3 linked regions of the Arabidopsis thaliana genome follow. The protein of the gene in region 1 interacts with the protein of each later gene in a pairwise test. Each region holds a gene or a part of one and is shown on either strand. Other genes may lie near its edges.

Evidence for each region.
Region 2: the proteins of TBL18 (region 1) and HSL2 interact in a protein complementation assay, tested with the Arabidopsis thaliana proteins (one large-scale study listed by BioGRID).
Region 3: the proteins of TBL18 (region 1) and NRT1.8 interact in a protein complementation assay, tested with the Arabidopsis thaliana proteins (one large-scale study listed by BioGRID).

Annotation. Positions count from the first base shown.
Region 1 is NC_003075.7:12,967,584-12,971,342, forward strand, and holds the start of TBL18 (TRICHOME BIREFRINGENCE-LIKE 18), read left to right. Parts: upstream 1-1,975; 5' UTR 1,976-2,168; exon of another isoform or gene 2,169-2,405; 5' UTR 2,406-2,603; coding exon 2,604-3,123; intron 3,124-3,630; coding exon 3,631-3,759. UniProt on the Arabidopsis thaliana protein: May act as a bridging protein that binds pectin and other cell wall polysaccharides. Probably involved in maintaining esterification of pectins. May be involved in the specific O-acetylation of cell wall polymers.
Region 2 is NC_003076.8:26,290,457-26,294,215, forward strand, and holds the start of HSL2 (HAESA-like 2), read left to right. Parts: upstream 1-1,915; coding exon 1,916-3,759.
Region 3 is NC_003075.7:11,518,069-11,521,827, forward strand, and holds the start of NRT1.8 (NITRATE TRANSPORTER 1.8), read right to left. Parts: upstream 1,738-3,759; 5' UTR 1,509-1,737; coding exon 1,391-1,508; intron 1,291-1,390; coding exon 1,073-1,290; intron 992-1,072; coding exon 438-991; intron 352-437; coding exon 1-351. UniProt on the Arabidopsis thaliana protein: Low-affinity nitrate transporter. Involved in nitrate removal from xylem sap. Not involved in oligopeptides transport.

The sequences.
Region 1 (3,759 bases):
AACTCTTTAAATTATTTCTTAGAAAGAGTTATGGAAGAATTAAAAGTTTTAAAAACATTTGATGCTAATCTAGTTTTTCTTTGGTGACTTTTTTTCAACCAATTTGAGATGTTTTAAATGGGGATCTGACAAGTAACTATTGTACCAGGAATACGCACCATTTCCTTTTTTTGTGCTTATAAATACATATTTATTTATTTTATTTATATAATAATTTGAAAACTTAGAAATTACACTAATTTATTAATTCTTTACTTACAAACAATTGGTTTTAGTTTTTAAAATTATCCAAGGCTGATTTCACCTAATTAAAATAACCATGACTAGATTTTAACCCGCGGACAACTTATTTTTTAAATTAGTATATATAAAAGTTTGCAAATTAAATCTATTTATTTTTATTTTATAGTTTACAATTGTTATTAAATAACGTCTTACCAAACCCGTCTCGCCAAATCCGCCCCGTAAAAAAAAACCGCGGTACACCGCTAATTTAAATATATAATTAAAAGAAATATTTTACGGGATTGCAATTGTATTTTGGTTTGTCAAACAAATATTTGTTTAAAATAGTTGCCAAAATCTAGTTCAAATTTTGGAGAAAAAAGATTTATTGGATAGATAAAGAATATATTTAGGTGGGTTTTGCTCATTTTAAGGGATTGCAATTATATTTTTGTTTGTCAAACATTTTTTGTTTTAAATAGTTGCTGAATATATTTGGAATATTTTTAGTTTATTAATCAATTTATTGCTGGAAAAAAATCAATAATTAATACTCAATGGCAGCCTAGTAAATAAGTCCCAACTCTAAGATTTATTTCACAAAATGGCTGCAAAAATGTATATATAGATGATTCATTATTTCATTTTATGCGGTAGGAGTAAAAACAACATTAACTAGCAAAAACTATAATACACACACAACAGTAACTACTCATCGAGTATGGCATTCATGGATACGAATCAAATCTCAAATCGTATAAGCCTGGCCATTATTTTATTTTACAATATTTGATAATGTGCTACCTAAATATCAAAATTTTAGAATATTCTGAAATAAAATGTCGAATTTTTGTGATAGCCTTAAATTACTACATGCTCACGTATGTAAATTTTCTATTCTTTCATAGTTAATTTTCTATTAAAATGTACAATTTCCAGTTTGATGGTATGAAGATCAACAAAGTACCATAAAAATGTATAATTTCTATTTCTTCCTAATTAATATTCTTTAAAGTGTAATTTTCCAGTTCATCCTTGTTAATTTTCTTAAATAATAAAATGTAAAACTTACAAATTTCACGGACTTTATTAACAGAAATGTAAATAATTGTAAATAAATGTAAACATACTGTGTCACAAGAAGACATGACAAAAAATAAAAACAGTAGAAATAAACTTTTTTCTGGGTGCGTGTGGTAAAACAAACATGGGGACTGATCCAATGAAGTTTATCGCAATTTCTGGAATTTCAGTCGGTGTATTAATCATCATCGCACTGATAGTGGCTTATGCCTGCTATCGTGCCCGAAAGGAAGGACCAGTCAGAGGCGACGGACGACTCACACCTATTGTAATGATGATATGATATATCACCTATTTTCGATCTTTTTCTAATAATTTATTTTATGATGCAACTTTTTAGATTACTATATACTATAGAAGAGCATATTGTAATTCTATTTTACCTATATAATAATAAATAATATTTCGGCGATTTTGTCATATGCTGGAGTGTTACATTAGATGATGACTAGTAGGGTTTTTTTTTTTATGTGAAAACAACAATCGTTGTGTCATATAACGCGAAGTGACAAACAAACAATTCGAAATATTAGCAATGTTACAAAATTCGAAATATACGCAATGTTATGGTGGTGTTGACCGAAGGGTAGTTTCGTAACTTTACATCATCGCGTGGTCGTATACGCGCCGATGAGATCACAGACGGCATTAATGGGCTCCGGAAGAAGAAACAAATGATTAATTTAAGGAATAAATTACCACTAAATTCGTTTGATTATTTCCGGAAAACAATTAACTAATAAAACTATAACTAACCTTTGTTTAATTTTTTGATTTCGCGTCTTCACTGTTGTGGATTTCTTCTGAATCTTCTGAGCTCGCTTCACCTACAAGAAGACAACAAGGATCATTTTCTCTAGGTTCGTAGATTCTCTTTCTTCTTCTTCTTCGTTTGGATCTGCTTAGTGAAGAAGATAATCTTCTGAAAAATTGTTTGTTTTTTTTCTGAAAATCTGAATACGTAATGATTTGAGCTGAATCTGAGTTAGATTCACATTTATATTCTGGATTTGTGCTATTTGATGATTTATTAGATCGATCATCTTGTTTTCTTCTTTCGCCTTTAAGTATGTTTGCTCATAGTGTTGCTCTTCCAGATTCCAGATCCTGAAGAAGGTGAAATCTTATCTGTGATCCAGTGGAAGATTGAATCAAGTAACAGATTCACTTAGTTCACTTGCGTATTGCATGCCCCTGAAGATAACATTTTGAATAATGTTGATATTGAATTATCACCTATAAGCTCTGGTTCTTGTTGCTTGTATTGGTTCTGGGTATCTACTAGTGAAGAAACCATGGCTTTTGGTTCTCCTAGGAATAATTCTATATTAGCTGCGGCTGGATTTCCTCGGAAAGTGTCTACAGTTGCAATTGCTATTGGTGGTTTGGCATCATTCTTTGTTTTCGGATTGTTGCTTCGTCTTTCGTATCCGAATAGTTCTTCAGTTGGTGGCATATTTTATGGGATAGGGAATCCTGAACAAGTTCATGTCCCTTTATCTTTGAGCAACCATACTGTCAATATCCTTCAGAAGAGTAGTGACATCAATGCGTTTGATAAAAATCTGACTTCTGATTCTAGCTCTGGCTTACCTGTTGTTGTTAGCAAAAGTATACCACCTCCAGATTTCAGTAGTGATAGGAAGTTGGAGACACCTTTGACACAAGAAAAAGAGGATTTGGTTTCTTCGGATATAACTGAAAAGACTGATGTTCAATCAGGTGAACGTGAAACCAATGTTTCCAAGGCTGAAGACACTCCAAGTGCATCATCTCCTCCAGATGATGTCTCTGAAACTGCTTCAGCAGAACCAGGTACTGTTGTTATCTTTTAAACGCTTATTTCCGTAGCTTTTGTCGTATTTGGAACATTTTGAGTTATGGTAGCTTAAATTTCAATAAACAAAGACTAAGCTAGTGTGGGAATGTTATAGAACATTTAGTTTTGCATTTCTATGGAAAGGCGTAAGTTTCTGAGAAGTTTTAAAGAAATTCAGCGGCTAAACTCTTAGCTATAGACCTACTGTAATTATTCTAGCCGAGGACTGAATATAGCAGATTAGAGTAAAAACTTGGTTAGGGAGCAGATAGTGAGTGCTGGGCTTGTAAGGTGGTCTCAGCATTTTGTTTTAGGGGTTAGAGTTTCTAGGCTTTGTGGGCATTTGGTTGAGAGTTCTACCTGTTTTGGTGAATTGGAATAAGAAGAGCAGTTTCATAGATCTGTTCTTGTCAGTTTCCCTTGCTTCTCATGATTCTAGCTGTTCGATGTTTTATATTTCTGTTATGAGTTTGTCGCTTACTCAAATCTTTGATTGCTTGTAGAGTGTGATTTGTATCAAGGTAGTTGGTTTTATGATCCTGGGGGACCTCTCTACACGAACAACTCTTGCCCTGTCCTGACGCAGATGCAGAATTGCCAGGGAAATGGAAGACCTGACAAGGGATATGAGA
Region 2 (3,759 bases), on another chromosome or scaffold:
TTTTTTAGTAATTCATATAAATTGGATATATTTGGGATAAAAGTAGCCAATGTTATAGTTTTCTTTTAGGTAATTTGAGTATTTTGGTTATATTTGGGTAAAGAGTAGTAACCAATGTATTTTTGGGTAATCGGATATTTCGATTAGATTTAGTATATATGGTACTCTTTCCGTTTCACAATATAAGTTGTTTTAGCTAAAAGCACGCAGATTAAGAATATTTATTTTTAAAAAGTTTAACCAATCATAAAAGACACTGCATAATAGAAATAATTATAAAACATTAAAATAATATATAATAGAAATTTGAAAACAACTTATATTGTGAAACAAAAAATTTGGTCCAAAATAACTTATATTATGAAACGGAAGAAGTATATTATATTCTCTCATCCATTTTAAAAATAAAATTTGAGGATTTTAAACAAACTTGTTCCCCCTTTTTATGGAGTACTTCTTATAATAGTGGCTAATTATAAGAGTCTAAAAACGAATTTTTATATGAATTTAGAAAAATTAGGATGGGGTTTTTGGGAAAGATAAAATGTTGCCTATAACAGTACATATTTAATCAGACAGAAGTGTCTTCACGGCGACGAAGAGTGTCTTCCGGCAATTGCATACTCCAACGCAAACAAAAAATGAAAATAAAGCAAATGTCATTCCCGTTAAATAATACGTGAATGTCATTCCCGTTGAATGCTAATTAAAGTAGAGAAGCCTCAAAATCCGATGAGTCATACGTGAATGTGGTTCTAGTGTCTCCCCAAATGGCTTCCTTCCATTTAATTCCGAAGTTAACTTTTACACTTGCCATCAAACTTTAGTAATGAAGAAAACATTGATACAACAAAACTGCGAGTGTAAAAAGTCTCATTTCACTGTTAAATTATTAATTTTAAGAGTAGACATTAACTGCGCCTAACTGATGACTAAAGAAGAGTTGATCAAACAAAGTCTACACATTACCTAACATTCTCTGTTCTAACTAAATACATCCATTTAAGAGACACTTACCAACCTCCTACTCAAAGCTACTCTAACTGTTGTTCAATTAACCATCAACATAACTGCAGGAGTAATTGATTAAACAACAATGAACTCTGACTTCATCAAAAACATCGAAAGACTCTGAAGTCAAGCATGTTGTTTTTATATGTCAACCGCAAACCTATGCATTAAACAACCAATAGAAGCCAAAAAAACGTACAGAATCTAGGAGAATGCAACTATGATTATGAAAATTCACGCACACTAATACCACTAGCTTACAATTAGAGAGTGAAACGTTACAATACGTCCACGCAAAATACGTCTTATTATTATGATAACGTACATTAATATTCATGTTTTCTGTTTGTGCTCTGCATTTTGCTTATCTGTGCTAGGTGAAAACAAAAAAAAGAAGAGATTTGGACATTTTAACACACGCTTTGCTCGCACTTCACTTTTTTCACAATCATACTGTTATTTTCCTTCCTCTTATAATGAAAACTTACCGATAAGCAAATTTGTACCAAACGTATGAACGAATGATCTTTCTAGATTAGTCGATTTTACCATACATTAATTAAATTATTAGGTTCATCTACCCAACTACAAAAAAAGGGAGATAACGTTGGCGTTTTCAAAAAAGAGTGAACACTAATAAAAGTTTTCTAGATTCCTTTTCTCAACTTTTCTTTAAGCTAAAAGACTCCAAACAAACACTTAAGAAAGAAACTGTCACTCAAACTTAAACCTACTTCCCATGTGAATCAAAAGAAAGCAAAAAAAACCAGCAAATCCGTCCATCTTTAAATAACAATCTCAAACTCTTTAAACGTTACTCAACTTTTTTCTTCTTTTCAAAAACCCATTCTATGAACACAATCTCACCTCCTTCATCGTGTTTCATACCTCTCTTCCCAACACGATGCTCACCAATACTAATCTCTTCTTCTTTCTCTCTTTACTTCTTCTTTCTTGTTTTCTCCAAGTTTCTTCCAATGGAGACGCTGAGATATTGAGTAGAGTTAAAAAGACCCGACTTTTCGACCCCGATGGAAATTTACAAGATTGGGTCATAACCGGAGATAATCGGAGTCCATGTAATTGGACGGGAATCACATGCCACATCAGAAAAGGTAGCTCCCTCGCCGTCACTACCATTGATCTCTCCGGCTATAATATCTCCGGTGGCTTTCCCTACGGATTCTGTCGTATCCGTACACTCATCAACATCACTCTTTCTCAAAACAATCTCAATGGTACGATTGATTCTGCTCCTCTCTCCCTCTGTTCTAAACTTCAGAATTTGATTCTCAATCAAAACAACTTCTCCGGTAAATTACCGGAATTCTCACCGGAGTTTCGTAAATTACGAGTCCTCGAATTGGAATCAAACCTCTTCACCGGTGAGATTCCTCAAAGTTACGGGAGACTCACTGCTCTGCAAGTTCTGAATCTTAATGGTAACCCGCTCAGTGGAATCGTTCCGGCGTTTTTGGGTTATCTGACTGAGTTAACTCGTCTTGATCTCGCTTACATCAGTTTTGATCCTAGTCCGATTCCATCAACCTTGGGGAACTTGTCGAATCTGACTGATCTTCGGCTAACTCACTCGAACCTCGTCGGAGAAATTCCTGATTCGATCATGAATCTGGTGTTGTTAGAGAATCTTGATTTAGCTATGAATAGTCTCACCGGAGAAATACCTGAGAGTATCGGAAGACTCGAATCGGTTTACCAGATTGAGCTCTACGATAACCGGTTATCTGGAAAATTACCGGAGAGTATCGGAAATTTAACCGAATTGAGGAATTTTGATGTCTCGCAGAATAATCTAACCGGTGAACTACCGGAAAAGATCGCTGCTCTGCAACTTATCTCTTTCAATCTCAATGATAATTTCTTCACCGGAGGATTACCAGATGTCGTAGCTTTGAATCCTAATCTCGTTGAATTCAAAATCTTCAACAACAGTTTCACGGGGACGTTACCAAGGAATCTCGGGAAATTCTCAGAAATCTCTGAATTCGATGTCTCGACGAACAGATTCTCCGGTGAATTGCCGCCGTATTTGTGCTACAGAAGAAAACTTCAGAAGATTATCACCTTCAGCAATCAATTAAGCGGCGAAATTCCGGAATCTTACGGCGATTGTCATTCGCTTAATTACATTCGTATGGCGGATAACAAACTCTCCGGCGAAGTTCCGGCTAGGTTTTGGGAACTTCCTCTTACTCGTCTTGAGCTAGCCAACAACAATCAATTACAAGGTTCGATTCCTCCTTCGATTTCCAAAGCTCGTCATCTATCTCAGCTTGAAATCTCCGCTAACAACTTCTCCGGTGTGATTCCCGTCAAACTTTGTGATCTCCGTGATCTCAGAGTCATCGATCTTAGCCGCAACAGTTTCTTAGGATCAATTCCGTCTTGCATCAACAAATTGAAGAATCTAGAGAGAGTAGAGATGCAGGAGAACATGCTCGACGGCGAGATTCCGAGTTCAGTGAGTTCGTGCACCGAGTTAACCGAATTAAATCTCTCCAACAACCGTTTACGAGGCGGGATACCACCGGAACTCGGTGATTTACCGGTTTTAAACTACCTGGATCTCTCTAACAACCAACTCACCGGTGAGATTCCGGCGGAGCTGTTGAGGCTCAAGCTTAATCAATTCAACGTCTCCGATAACAAACTCTATGGTAAGATTCCTTCTGGATTTCAGCAAGATATTTTTCGACCCAGTTTCTTAGGTAACCCGAATCTCTGTGC
Region 3 (3,759 bases), 1.4 Mb from region 1:
TTGCGTTCTGTTTTGTTAAGTCTTGCAAAGAGTGGATCAAGAAACCGCCTGTATGCGAAGATGAAGAAGGCGACACTGAGAATGTCGAAACTAGACATGCTTGAAGCTGGAATCCGGAAGTTTTTGATGTTTGTCTTCATCGCTGCTCCTTGCACAACGAACAGTGAAGCCATTTGGGTGAAAACCACAGAGTAGAGGATGGTGCAGAGCCAGATTGGTAAGAGTCTTAATACACATTTCACTTCTTCGACTTGAGTCACCGAGCAGAGCCTCCATGGATCGTATTTCGATCCGCTCTCTACTTTCTCAGCCTCATCATCAGGTGTAACAATAGCAGCTCTATCCAAGAATCTGTAGAAAATAATAGAGAGAGAGTTAACACTGATCTTGACGATGGTTTCTGAGATTATAACAGAACTTTTAATTGGTTATCTTACCTGAAGCCTTTGGTATGAAGAATCTTCTTATCTCCAGTGTATTGAGTCTCAGAATCATAGAGATTCAACTCTTCATGGTGCACATCAATCTTAGCCTTTCTTGTTGCAGCAACCAACACTTGGCAGAATCTAGACCAAGGACTCTCTCTAGGCGTAAAGTGTCGGTACTTTGGCGTGCCAATCAAGAAAAGCACTAACCCCGCAAAAGCAGAGCCAGCAGACGCCCAAAATCCAAGCGGCCATTCCCCTTGATCCTCAAAGTAACCCAAGACAGTATTTGAGAAGAGCGATCCAAGATTCAGAGCCAAGTAAAAGTAACTGAAAAACGCGATTTTCGAGTGTCCTTCAACGGAATCCTCCGCATCAAACTGATCAGCTCCAAAAGTAGCTATGTTCGGCTGATAACCACCATACCCTAACGCGATTAGATACACCGACAGATAAAACAGAACCGTCTTAAACGTCGAATGAGGCTTACACGGCGAATCTTCAACTCCACAACCACTTGGTTCAAGCAATAACGCACCAGTAGATAAAGATAACATCATCAACCCCTATAATCCATTAAAACATGTTAACTTATTGTTAAAGAAACAAACCCTAGAAAAAGACAGAGCAGTGTTGAAGACACTTACTGCAACGAAACTTGCTTGAAAGATAGCACAAGTCTTGTAACGTCCCCAATAAGAGTCACTGAGGAAAGCACCAAGCAAAGAGAAGATATAGACAGTTCCTGTCCATTTACTAACATTATTAGCCGCTTCTGCATTGTCTTGTCCCATCACTCGAGTCAGAAACAGAACCAAATTCACTCCTACACCGAAGAACGCAAGCGTAGCTAGTCCTTGATTCACTATATCAACCAAAAACCCATTTCTTTAGAATCCAAAACACAACACTTTAAGACAAAGAACAGTGGTATATATAGAGAGAAAGAGAGAGAGAATCATTACCTAGAATGAGAATAGCAGTGAGCCATTTGCCGGTATTAGCTCGGATAGCTGGATTGCCGTGACGATCAACGCTACCGTCTTGAGTGCAAACCTCAAACTGTCTAACTTTTTGATCCATAGATTCGATTTGGTGTAGAGATATACTCAAAAAGATTCCTTATCTTGATGATCCTAATGATTATGATGATTATCCAGAGACCGGTTAAAGAGGAAACCGGTGGTTAGAGAACAAAAGGATCGAAAACTCAGGAATCGAGGAAAGTGAAGAAGTGAAAAGAGAAAGATATTTAATAGTGATATTGAGAGTTGCATTAAAAGTGTGAAGAAGAGAGCTTATATTTATAGAGAGCTCAGAAATTGAGTCAGAGAACTCAGAAGAGATCCTTTCTTTGACGTCTCTTTCTTTCTATGGTGTTTAATTTAATCAATTTAATTGTAAAGGTTTTGAAACGGGCTGCTAAAATATATGTTCGGTGGATTTTTCTCGACAGAATTTTGTTATCTCAATAATAATCATATGCTATTTTAATTTTTTAACTAGTTTTTATGAATAAAAATTAAAAGAGATAAATCTAAATGATCTTTTTCGTTCTAAAATATTTATTTAATACGAAAAGTAGTTATGTAAAAATTTTAATTTGAAGAGAATCTGACTTTGTGGGAAAAAAACGGAAATGCCACTGTTATATGCGAATAAAACCATAAATTACGGTATAGGAACTTAAAACGTAGTATTGAAAATTGGCATCCCTAAAATCTATGAAGAAGGAGAAACACCTGGTTAAAGGTAAGCCAAGCGAATGTGTGACCAGTTACACCTGGAGGGCTGCTGGAAGAGACTGATAAAATCAAAAAACATGAGGGAAAATAAAAAGAGTAAAAACCCCAAATAATTGTTCTTAAATAGGAAAAAAAAAAGAGGGGAAAAAGTGAAAGTAAGAAAGTTCCCCACTAAAACAGGATTTGGTGTCTCTTTCAAGCACGCTACGCTCGTGTGTAGCTGTATTCGATTACGACTTTCCTCACTCCTAACTTATATTATAATTGGTTCTATTCTTAATCCATGTTTAAGCCCTAATTTAAGTCTAAATCTTTGATACGTTTTGGTAATTTTCTTTTTGTTGTGTTAGATCCTTTTCTGTGTCTCACATATACTATGTTTTTATCTTTCTTTCTGATTTTTTTTTGTGAACAGAATTGTTTATCTTTCAAAAATAGGATTATATTTGATTTCATATTTGGATGGATAAATACAAACATGTTTGGTATTTGGCAATCCAAACTTTAATTTATACCAATTCGCTGATTGGTTAATTATGAAACCTAGATAAGTGAAAATATGAAATACATCTAAATCTTCTATAGTATTTTACGCAAATCTTATCTGTCGAATTAATGTCTAGATTCATTGAAGCTTGGGGATATTTACAAATTCCAGCTTTTTTACCTAAGAAAGTTAGACCTAAATCTGAATCGAACAATCTAAATTAATACACATTGTGTCAAAAAAATTTGGATCGAAGTTTTAATGATCACGAAAGAACTATGTTCTAGACTTCTAGTAATGTCCTATAACTTTGTTACGTCCTACTAAATTAAGTTAATTAACCATTCACAAGATACTACGTGCATCTTGGTTAAGAACAAGTTTAGGTTTAAAAAAAAAAAATGTTTAGGTTTAAATACTAAATGTAGAACAGTGGTAGTTTTGAACGGACATACCTTGATTTAGGTTTTGATATGGATGATCGGCAGTTGAAGTGTTAATATCGCCTGATTAAAATCCAATTTGTCCACGACAATTTACTAAGCAATACAAAGTCGTTCTCTTTATATATATATTTGTGTTGCATAAATCAAAATTCAATCATAACAACAAATAAAAATATATAATCAAAATCCAACACCTTATTTTAATAGGACTCAAATATGAGTTATAAATTCCTGATTCCCTGAGGATTTAGAGTTACAGTATATATATGAAATATTTCACTTAAGTTTATTTACTCTTCTCATTAGAGTACTTTTCAATTTAAAGTCTATTTACTCTCATGATTAGAATTAGTTCATGAAATCTTTACAAGTCTCAATGATGTAATATAACTATTTGGTTTATCGTGTCTTTGAACTTAAAATCAGACTAATATCTAAATATCTCTAAATCATCACGTAAAGTATGTGATGCGTATACTTGTATGTGAACATGGTAAATGGTTGTGCTGTATTGGAAGGAAAGTTTGGACTATACCATTTGAATAACTATGCGATTATATCATATATCAAAAGTTAATTTACGCCTAACCAATAAATTTTTTTTAAAATGCGAATATGATATAATGTAATATAACCCAACACGGATCCAACCAATC